2 linked regions of the Drosophila melanogaster genome follow. The protein of the gene in region 2 interacts with the protein of the main gene of each other region in a pairwise test. Each region holds a gene or a part of one and is shown on either strand. Other genes may lie near its edges. The genes, in order: CG15741 and ABCB7.

Region 1 (3,179 bases), on a different chromosome or scaffold from region 2:
CATATATACACATACATATATATATATATATTTATATATATATATATATAGACATATAGATACGCAAATTGGCAGAACATTTACTTAAAACCCATACCTAAATATATGAGTATATACATATATCTACGTTTATGTGGGCATCTTATTACGATGTTCATTTCATGTCGTCGCATGTTTTCCCCTTAGTTAATCGAAAATCAAACAAAACAAAAAAAAGCCTATAAGACAAAAACCACAAAAAAAAAAAAATCTATCTTTTTTAATTCATTTGTATAACCGAAAGTGTCATAGAATTCATTTGAGAGGTCGATTCTAGAATTGATTCCACCATATAATATAATAAATGCATAAACTAAAAAAAAAAAACTCAGCAATTATCGTTTTTCTCTGCAAGGATTTTATATATATAATATTATTATATATTCACTTAAAATAACTTCATTTCGAAACAGCAAATGTATTTTTCAATATTTTTCAATTACTTTATTTGATTAAAAAAAAAGATATATTACGATGTGATGCAATCATAGTTTTTTCTGCGATCGGTGGGTTGATTTCGATTTCGAAAGGAAGAAAATATTTAACCACTGCGACGGGTGCGTCGGACTTTCTTGGTTTTCTTGTTTTTCTTGCTGTTCTTTTTCTTGCTCTTGGTGGTCTTCTTGTCCTTCCTGTGACGCCGGTTGACGTAGTGCCTCGTGTGCCGAACTTTCTTATCGCTCGACGATGATGAACTGGACGCCTCCGTGGTGGTGGTGGTCGTGGGAGCAACTGTCGTTGTAGTGGTGGTCGCCGTGGATGATGAGGAACTCGACGACGACGAAGTTGGAGAAGTGGACGAAGTTGGAGAAGTGGACGAAGTTGGAGAAGTGGACGAAGTAGGTGAAGTAGATGAAGCAGGTGAAGTAGATGAAGCAGGTGAAGTAGATGAAGTTGAACTAGCCACTGCCAGGAGGCTGGCGAGGATCAGTACGCAGAGGAATCGCATCTTGCGGCTTTGGGGCAGTGGTACTTGGAACTGTGCCTTTATCTCTATTCTAACCAGGCTTTTATAGCACCCCTATCCATGGCATCTAACGAGCATCCAACCGCCCGAAGATTAAACGTATATTTGGCCAGGGTAAATACGGAGCAACCAACACCAATCCCACCCCCCCCCCCCCCCCCTTCCACACATTTGTCATCTGTCTTGGATCTCCGGTGCTCCGATCCATGGCATTATTTTCATTATTTTCGCTATTTGCATAGAACACGCCCAGAATCCCAGTTTGTTTGCACACGAGTCACATAATTGGCACTATTTGCCAAAATCGAGGGTAAAACTTCTGTTCGTAATTAAAGAATTGTTGGAGCTGTGAGGCAGTTTAAAAATATCTTTTGTTTGATAGTTCTGTTTCATTTTTTAGTATATTATTTAATATATTATCTTAAATATTAGTATAACATATAAGAATATATCATTAGGAATTTTCGCATATCTTGCAGACCAGCGGAATGATCCCCTCAAAAGCTGGCCAAGATCTCTTCACTTTGGATTGGGCTGGAGTCCATTGGATACGGTCTGGTCTCGAGATTCGTCTGGCGAAACAATGTCAATGCCATTGACTAGTGGGATCTTAACTACACTTAAAGACTAGCTACCTATATTTGAAAATCAATTATAAGCAACAGTAATCATATTTTAATATTCTCTACCAAAGAATATATAATATAATATAATATAATATAATATAATATAATATAATATAATATAATATATAATCTTAGAGCAATGCTTGTTTATTTTTCTCTCTGGTTTCCGGAATTAGAGCAATTCGTTTACATAATACCATCAATCATGGTACAATCTTGAATGATTGATGAAGCCAGCGACTACTGCACAAAATCCCCAAATAGAGAGAGAGACTCGATTTCGCAGTTGATTGATTAGATCACTAAGCTGACAGACAAGCAAGCTCATCTAATTGCATTCGTCACAACGCAAAATGACATAGTAGATGGCAATTTGTGGCGATTTGAAATTGCAAGTGGTTTTTCGCCGATCTTTTCGAAAAAGAGAAATGGTTTGCTTGGAATTTTCTTCTTGCACGAACCGTTGCTGAATAAATATTTGCACCCAAATATGCGAATAAAAAGCAGCTCAAACAAAAATTCGACAATGGCCTCTTTTGTTGAATTAAGTGTTCCGATTGTCTTGCGACTTGACTTTGCTACGTTCAGGGTTGTCAGATTGTTGGCAGTTACTTTCGCTATCGCTGATCCCCCCAACTGGCTTGACCTGTGCACCTTTACTTTCGAACACGTTCCTTGATCGACTACGAAATGCAGCTCCTTAGTTATTCTGACATAAGAGCAGTTCGCTGGTTAATTCGATAATGACACCAACTAAGTTCTGTTCCAGCGACACGCAAACCCACATAAGATCAATTGCAAAATGGGGAATAATAAATGTATGCATAGTATATACATAGGGGCGCAATGGAAGCACGCTACGGAGGAGATCCCCAATCTCCGCCGATCTCCTTGTGCCACCAGATGCGCGTATCCGATTCAATTTCATCCACTCAGTTTCGCTTACAACGTCGTCATGTTTGGATCGCTTCTACTGGGGATTGCCACCTTGCTGGGCGCGATCTATGCCTTTCTGGTCTCGAACTTTGGCCACTGGCGGCGTCGCGGAGTCACAGAACCCAGAGCCCTGCCGCTCTTCGGTTCCTTTCCCAACATGATTTGGCCACGCCAGCACTTCACCATGGACATGCGCGATATCTATATGTGGGTATACGCATATTCGAGTGTGGTGTTATGGTCGTATATTGTATATATTCTTTGCAGGCATTACAGGAATACCCATAGCTATGTGGGCTGCTACCTGTTGCGTGCACCCAAGCTGCTCGTCCTGGAACCACGCCTTGTGTACGAGATCTATGTGAGCGCGTTCAGTCATTTCGAGAACAACGATGCCTCCAAGATGGTGGACATCGCCAAGGATCGTTTGGTCGCCCTCAATCCATTCGTGCTCGAGGGCGAAGAGTGGCGCCACCAGCGGGCGGTCTTCTCCACTCTGCTGACCAACGGTCGCATCCGCACCACCCATGCCATCATGCAGCGTGTCTGTCTGGATCTCTGTCAGTTCATTGCGATAAAGTCGGCTGGAGGCAAGGATCTGGACTGCATTG
Region 2 (7,357 bases):
TCCCGGGACTAACTCTGACCAACTTCATCTCGCCGGACCTTATCAACTGCACGCTGACCATTCTTGAGGGAAATGTTCGGTACCGGAACGAGCGGGATCCGGAGGCCTATTTCCTGACAGCCGGCAAGAGCATCGGTCTGGAGAGCAACATCACCCACTTGGTCACCACCATTGGCCAGAAGCCAGCTTCGTATCTGTTCACATACACCAACAAAACGATGCTGGAGCAGGGCATCACGATAGAACAGCCTGATACCGAGGAGCGGTCTGTCCTGCCGCTGTGGCAGGAGTTCCAGCATCGGGTTACCAACTACCAGCAGTTTTTGGGCCACATTGGCAACTGCCTAATGTACTTGCTCTACGATGTGCCCATTCCGCAGGCCGTAAAGGGGGGAGATTGAAGGAGAAGGCTAACCATCGGCACTATTTCGGTTTTAGCCGTATCTAGATTCGATATTAAATCTGGTTAAGCAAATTCAAAACCTATATTGCCTATAAATCAGAGGATAACAATTTATATTGAAGAAATGAAGGTCCGATTTGAAGGATATACACAAATCCTCTTGGTTTTGTCTATATATCAATGAAATGCATTTAATAATATCACATTATTTTGCATTTACATAACGATACGCTCAAATCAATTAAATCTCGAAACAAAACCTTGGAAACCAGAGCGATATAACCGAATGTATGGGTGATAAAACTGATAATAAATGTTCCATATTGTACCACATCCCGTTCAATTTCTCTTATCGCATATCTACAGCTGTATTTACAAACGTCACAATGATACTTTAAGCCTATGAATAGCGAATCTCCGGTCCAGGAGGATTCTACGGTGAATTTAGTGGCTAGGGATTGCCAAACGAAGGGGATGGTTATAACATTATAACAAACACATAAATAGGCTAGGAGCCTCGTCTACGCCACGCCCCGCGTCTTCTTCGCTGCCACCTCCTCATTGATCTCCCGGCTCGGGTCGAACTGCTGCGTCTGCGTCTCCCAGAGGCGGGCATACAGTCCATTCTGCCTCAGCAGCTCCGAATGGGTGCCACGTTCACCTACACGTCCGTTCTCGAGCACCAGAATCTCGTCCGCATCCTTGACTGTCGAGAGACGGTGGGCAATGCAAATGCTAGTGCGTCCTGAGGTAGCGCGGGTCAGAGCCTGCAGAATGTTCTACAAAGGGAAGAAGTCCGATTCCGTCAGTTTATAGAAGTTCACTTAGTCGCTTTCAACACTCACATGCTCGGTGATCGAGTCCAGACTGCTTGTAGCCTCGTCAAAGATCAGAATGGGGGTGTTCTTCAGTATGGCCCTAGCGATGGCAACGCGCTGCTTCTCGCCACCGGATAACTTTAATCCACGTTCGCCTACCTGAGTGGAGTACTGTCCTGGCCAGCTCATGATGGAGTCATGCAAATCAGCCATGCGGGCAGCATTCTGCACTTCTGCGTGGGACTTGGACAGGTTGCCATAGTGGATATTGTGCTCGATGGTGTTGTGGAATAGCACCGAATCCTGCGGCACCACTGCAATAACCTTGCGCAGGCTCTCCAAATCCACGGCGCTGATATCCTGGCCACCGATCAACACTTTACCAGAGTTTGGCTCAAAGAAGCGGAAGAGAAGGCGCACCATCGACGATTTTCCTGAGCCAGAGCCGCCCACAATGGCGACGTTTTTACCGGCGGGTATGGTGAAACTGAGGTCCCGGAAAATGGGCTTGCCAGGTTCGTACTCGAAGCTCACGTTGCGGAACTCAATGGATGAGTTAGTGGTGTCCACGAACAGGGGCTGGGCATTGGCGGCTGTCTGAATGCTACTGTCCACGTTCATCAACGTGAACATGGCCCGCATGTCCAGCAAAGCCTGTCGCACCTCACGATAAACACTGCCCAGAAAACCGAGGGGGATCGAGAGCTGGAAGAGCAGGGCGTTGACCATCACCAAATCTCCAACCGTCATGTTGCCTTGGGCAATCTCCTTGGCGGCCAATACCATAATCAGACTCAGTGCGCTGCTGAAAATGGCGTTCTGGCCAAAGTTGAGCAGAGCGAGACTGGAGCTAGTCTTCAAGCTGGCCGCCTCATACTTCTTCAGCACCTCGTTGTAGCAACCCGCCTCGTACTTTTCGTTGTTGAAGTACTTCACCGTCTCGTAGTTGATCAGCGAGTCTACGGCCTTGTTGCCGGCCTCGTTCTCCGCCTGGTTCATAAATACACGGAACTGGGTGCGCCACTGGGTCACACTCAGAGTGTAGGCAGCGTATATGCCAACGCAGCCCATGCTGACACCAGCGAAGGCCAGGCCACACTTCACTCCCAGGATACTGGACACGAGGGCCAGCTCAAAGATAGTGGGCACAATGTTGAAGACCATGGCGGAGAGCACAAAGTTAATGCCCCTCGATCCTCGATCGATGGTCTTTGACAGTGCTCCAGTTTGTTTGTTCAGGTGGAAGGCCAGATCCAGGTTGTGCAGATGCAGGAACACATTGCTGGCGATCTTTCGGATCGAGTGGTGGGCCACCTTGGCAAACACTGCATTCCGCAACTCATTAAAGCCCGCCGCACTGGCTCTAGCAATGCCATCTGCGTGAATTAGACAGTTAAGATCTTTTATGATAGGGAACTCAGGCTAAGAAACCTACATCCCAACATCAGTGCGGTGGCTGCGGAGAGGACCGCATCCGGGGCAGTGTCCATGTTCAGCGTTGTCATCGTGTCCACAGCTCCTTTGAACAAGAAGGGGACACAGACGGTCAGCAGCTTGGAGCCAGCCAACAGACCCAGGGAAATACCCACCCTGTCAATTTGGAAAACAATAGATATTAAAGTATTCTCAGTCATAGTCAGATGAACTTACCGCTTTCGCACCAGTGGATCCTCCTTTGGCCAGATGTAGGCCATCATGGCACGCAGCATATCCTTGGAGGTGACCTCCGGCGCGTCTAGCTTGCCCAATCCCGAGCCACCATCGCTGCCGCCCCCTATATGAACATGACATAGTCGTGATTGCTGTTGTTGTGGGCGGTAAGGTCGCTGCCGCTGTAGCGTTGTTGTTTTTGCTGCTGCTGCTGCTGGGGCTCCACCTGCATTGAATTCACTTGGATGCAGCCAAATTCAGACAGGCGCTCAACACAACAAGCGCACAAACAAACAAAGAAACAAACGGACGCACGTACTCGGTCCACAAAACAAAATCAATTTTGGGTTGGTTAGTCAATAAAAAAAAAGCGTGAGAGGCTAGTACTAAATAAAAAGCCTGCGGATATCTGCAGGGGTGCTGTATTAATCAGGATACTCGAGCATTGGTTATTTACTGGGTAACTGATGCTGCCCCACGGCACCTACCTTTGGCCTTCTTGCCGAATACTCCACCCAGGAGCTTGCTACCCGGCGTGGGCGTAAACGGGGTAATCTTCTTCCGCTTGGCATCGCTGCTGTTCTTATCATCAACCTTAGTCAGCGAAGAGTACAGCTGAAAGGGGTCATTTACAAAATAAAGTTTACAGTTTTCTGTGATTTATTAAAAAAAATTTAAATGCCTCAAATAATATAAACTTAAGTAGTTTTTCTTTAACATCTATTACTATTCATTTCAATATTAAACGCCTTGTTTTAAATTCTAAGCTCAGCCTAGACAGCTTCTATGCAGCTAGATGCACCGATTGAAAGTCAACGAGGTAACGGATACACTCTTGGAGGTAAGACCGTGCCACTGCACCACTTTCTGTCAATTTAGGAAGCTTATCCAGCTCTCCTCCAAAGATCTCGTATTCCTTTATTTTATATTCTACGAGGTACGACAGCTCTGGCTGCACGTCCTGAAACTGCTCGGCGTCTCCAAAGGCAATCTGGTTGAGGATGTTGGGAAAGTAGGCCTGCTGCTTGAAGATCAGGTGCAGCACAACCCTTAGATTGTGAGAGCATCCATCGTCGATGTGCACGAACATTTGATCGTTCAGATTGTGCTCCCTGATGAATTTAAAGATGTTCCGGTGAAAGGTTTGCGTTGATAGCTCCTTGTTTTGCTTAATCATGTGCTCAATGTCCAGTAGGGAGACTTCAAAGTAATCGTGCTTATTTTCTCTTAGCCAAAAGCCATATTCCGTCAATAGCTTAAAGTTGGGCAAAGCACCGTAGCTGATGAACAATTGATCATATGGTTTGGTCTCGGAAAATGGCAGAGATTTCAATGTAAGAACGTAATCGGGACCCTCAATCCCTGCTGTGATTTCCACTTGATCTGAGTGGTTAAAAAGATCCAGAAACGGAGCCAATGCCAGGTTGGTGTCGCCACTGATAAGCGGCTGAAAGTAGTTGCTCTGCTTTTTCAGAAAGCGGGAACTGAGGTGGACGCTCCTAGTGTTCACGCTGAAGTAGGCCCACTTAAAGTCTGCGAGTGTCCAAATCTCCTGGCCGTAGCTCTTCCCACAGCAATCGCATTTGTGTACAATGTTCTTAATAATTTCAAAGTAACCTCTTATCTGACGGTTCTGGGCCACGGTCCGCTCTAGCAGGGATTCTGGCAGACACTGTAGCTCGGGTATGGAGCAGAAATACGGAGTGGAGTAGCACCTGGGCAGGGTGTCCAAATATGCAGCGTAAGTAGAGGAGTGAGTCCCTAGCGTACACTCCTGCAAGTGCTTGTGGTACAAAATATAACAGGCTATCAGTGCCTGAAAGGAAATTCTGGAGTCCTTGTCAAATAACTCTTCGTCGAAAAGACTTTTGAATGGCCCATCAGATTCCAGAGTCGCTATGCTTATGAGACAGCCAATGGGCAGGCGAATGAGCTCATCCTCCGGAGAAAAGGTCTTCTGTTTAGAGCATAGTCCTCGACCTGTCTGTTCGTAGTATTGGGCCGACAAGTGAGTGTGGTTCTGCCAGCCAACGGAGTGTAGATGAACGTAGAGGTCGTGCAGGGAGCCCGAATTCTCGTCAGACTTCTTGGCCCTCTGATGCCGGCGACGCTGCGTGCGACCCATTGTCCCCAATACCCGATCGATCCTCCAAGTCTGTGTGCGTGCGCGCTGTTTTGGTCTAACTCTATGCTTGCTGCAACGAAATAAGCCATAGCGTGGAGCATTAATTCAAGATTGATCGGATGGAAGTGGAGAAGGACCAAAACAACGCACACGCAGACTGTTTTCCCCGCCGATCGCCGGCTGTCCCCACTCAATCAAACCGCCAATTTATTGCGTATTTACGCGTAATTACGAAACCGTAATCTAGTCTAGATAGTCTGGCAGGTGGCCTTGAAATGGGTCTAGAGGCCGAGCACTCACCACTCTTGCCTGCACGTGTGTTCCCGGTCCCTTAGCGAGTGTGTAGCATTTCGCGCGTCCCAAGTGGGCGGGTAGGTGGATGCTGCACTGCTTGGTCAGGTGAAGGAGTCCGGCCATTACTCAATTGCCAGGCGAAAACAAAATAAAATCCCTCTTCTTTCGCACCGTCCCTGTGTTTTTGCTACGATATCAGCATTCGCATGGCAGCGTCAGCTGTTTGGAGTTGCCGTATCGCTGTGAATGGCAAGCCAAGTAGCAGTCGCCTGAACTAGTTCCATTTAAAATTTAAAAAAAAATCTTTTTTTAGGATTTTGGAATATGCATCAACTGTCAGAACATATGCAAGCAACAAATTCCAATATACTTCAATATATTTTTTTGTTAGAAACGTAGTGGGCTGTACACCATTAGGAAAGAAAGCATCGATAAGGTAGTTCCTTTTTGCTCATCTCCATAACATCTCCTCCCCCAACAAAGCGGGCATATCGAATTCTGGAATAGTCCACCGCTCGAAAATGTCGCTATTCGGTCTGATAGTCTCCGGACGCCTGCCCCAATCGGATTTTGTGGCCGTGGACGCCACCAAGTTGCTCGTGAATGTGCCCGACATAGAATCCGTCAACTACCTGGTAGTATTCCTCACCGGCGTATCACCCCTGCCCGTCGGCACCTCCGCTGCGATATATTTCAGCTGGCCGGACGCGAACGCAGCACCCACATGGCAGTATCTGGGTCACATAAACAACACCAAGCCCTCCGCCATCTTCAAAATCGCCCAGCTGAAGAAGAGTCACGAGCTGGAGGCCCAGGCTCACGGGATGGTCTTCGGCAGCCAGGAGATCTCACACATCGCACAGATTGGAGTTTCCCTCGAACCGGAGCTAACGGTGGCCCAACAGACGCCAGCCGTGGTAAGTTCTGAAGATCAGTAGTTGCCAACCGATTTGATTGGCGCAATAATTGCGATTCAAATCTAACCCCATTTCCAATTTTCAGTCCACTGCCAACGACAACAAGCAATTTGGTCAGCGAATGCTGGAGAACTTCTTCAACTACGCCTCCAGCTTCGGAGTGGCAGCCAGAGACATCCCGCCCATCTCGAGCGAGACCTTTGTGCCCTTCTCCGTCGTTCAAAATTGGTATACGAATTTCCAGCGTCGCATGGAACAGAATCCAAACTTTTGGAAGTACTGAGCAAAAGACAATGGAGGCGTCGCCTCCACAAGTTGTTGATATTACAAGTAAAGTTTTATATTTATATTCTTTCTGTAACTATTACCTATCTTTATTGGTGGACTTACAAAGGAGGATTCAAACTAGGGCTGTGGTTTTGTTGGGTCCAGTTCCGACTCCCCGGGAGTGCTTTGGGTTTCATTTCTACTGCCGTAATCTTTAGCAGGTCTGCGCTTTATGAATTCTGTATTGGAGGGCGCAGTCCGGAATGGTCCACGAGAAGTTGGCGTCGGAGCTGGAGCCGACCCTGATTTCTTTTTGCTTAAGGATTCTTGTCTTGTAGAAGGAGATATGCCGTCGTGAGAGGGTGAAGGTGACTTTCTAGACGGACTGCGGGAGGCCGATGCCCTGGGAACTACACTCGGTGCTGGAGCAGAGCCCGATCTCTTCCAAGCTGACGGTGATGCGCCATCATATGCAGAAGCATCTGGTTCCCTATTTCGAGCAGCTGAATCTTCATCAACCAGATTAGGAGCTGGAGCCGAGCCGGACCGCTGCTTTCCACCCCTTGGAGGTCTACTTGGCAGACTGATCAGTGGCTTACGGGGTGCTGGACCTGTAGGAGCTATAGACGCAGATGGAGACGAATCGGATCTCTTTTTTCCTCCAGATTCGCCCTTACCTGGTGGCGGCGACGAACCGCCCTTTGGTGGAGCGGCTGGTGGCTTAGTACTGGGTTTCGATTGCGCATCCGCCTTGGCCTTTGCCTGCTGCTTCTTGATCCGATCCTCGATTCGCTTCTTGTTCTCCGGCGTCAGCTCTCCGAAGATGCTTGTGATCAGGGCCTTGTACTCGTTGTAGTGCTGCACCTTGTTGCCCGTCGCTGGC

The links.
Region 1: the proteins of ABCB7 (region 2) and CG15741 interact in a two-hybrid assay, tested with the Drosophila melanogaster proteins (one large-scale study listed by BioGRID).

The regions. Positions count from the first base shown.
Region 1 is NC_004354.4:11,837,023-11,840,201, forward strand, and holds CG15741 (uncharacterized protein), read right to left. Parts: upstream 1,005-3,179; 5' UTR 989-1,004; coding exon 581-988; 3' UTR 521-580; downstream 1-520. Other genes in the region: Cyp28c1 (cytochrome P450 28c1), read left to right, coding at 2,588-2,775, 2,836-3,179.
Region 2 is NT_037436.4:1,616,557-1,623,913, reverse strand, and holds ABCB7 (ATP binding cassette subfamily B member 7), read right to left. Parts: upstream 5,501-7,357; 5' UTR 5,414-5,500; coding exon 5,297-5,413; intron 5,067-5,296; exon of another isoform or gene 4,997-5,066; coding exon of another isoform or gene 3,656-4,996; exon of another isoform or gene 3,517-3,655; intron 3,487-3,516; coding exon 3,360-3,486; intron 3,098-3,359; coding exon 2,872-3,097; intron 2,812-2,871; coding exon 2,657-2,811; intron 2,598-2,656; coding exon 1,249-2,597; intron 1,183-1,248; coding exon 925-1,182; 3' UTR 501-924; downstream 1-500. Other genes in the region: GC (gamma-glutamyl carboxylase), read left to right, coding at 1-401; CG33230 (uncharacterized protein), read right to left, coding at 3,656-4,996; CG13926 (uncharacterized protein), read left to right, coding at 5,812-6,207, 6,293-6,490; CG33791 (uncharacterized protein), read right to left, coding at 6,613-7,357.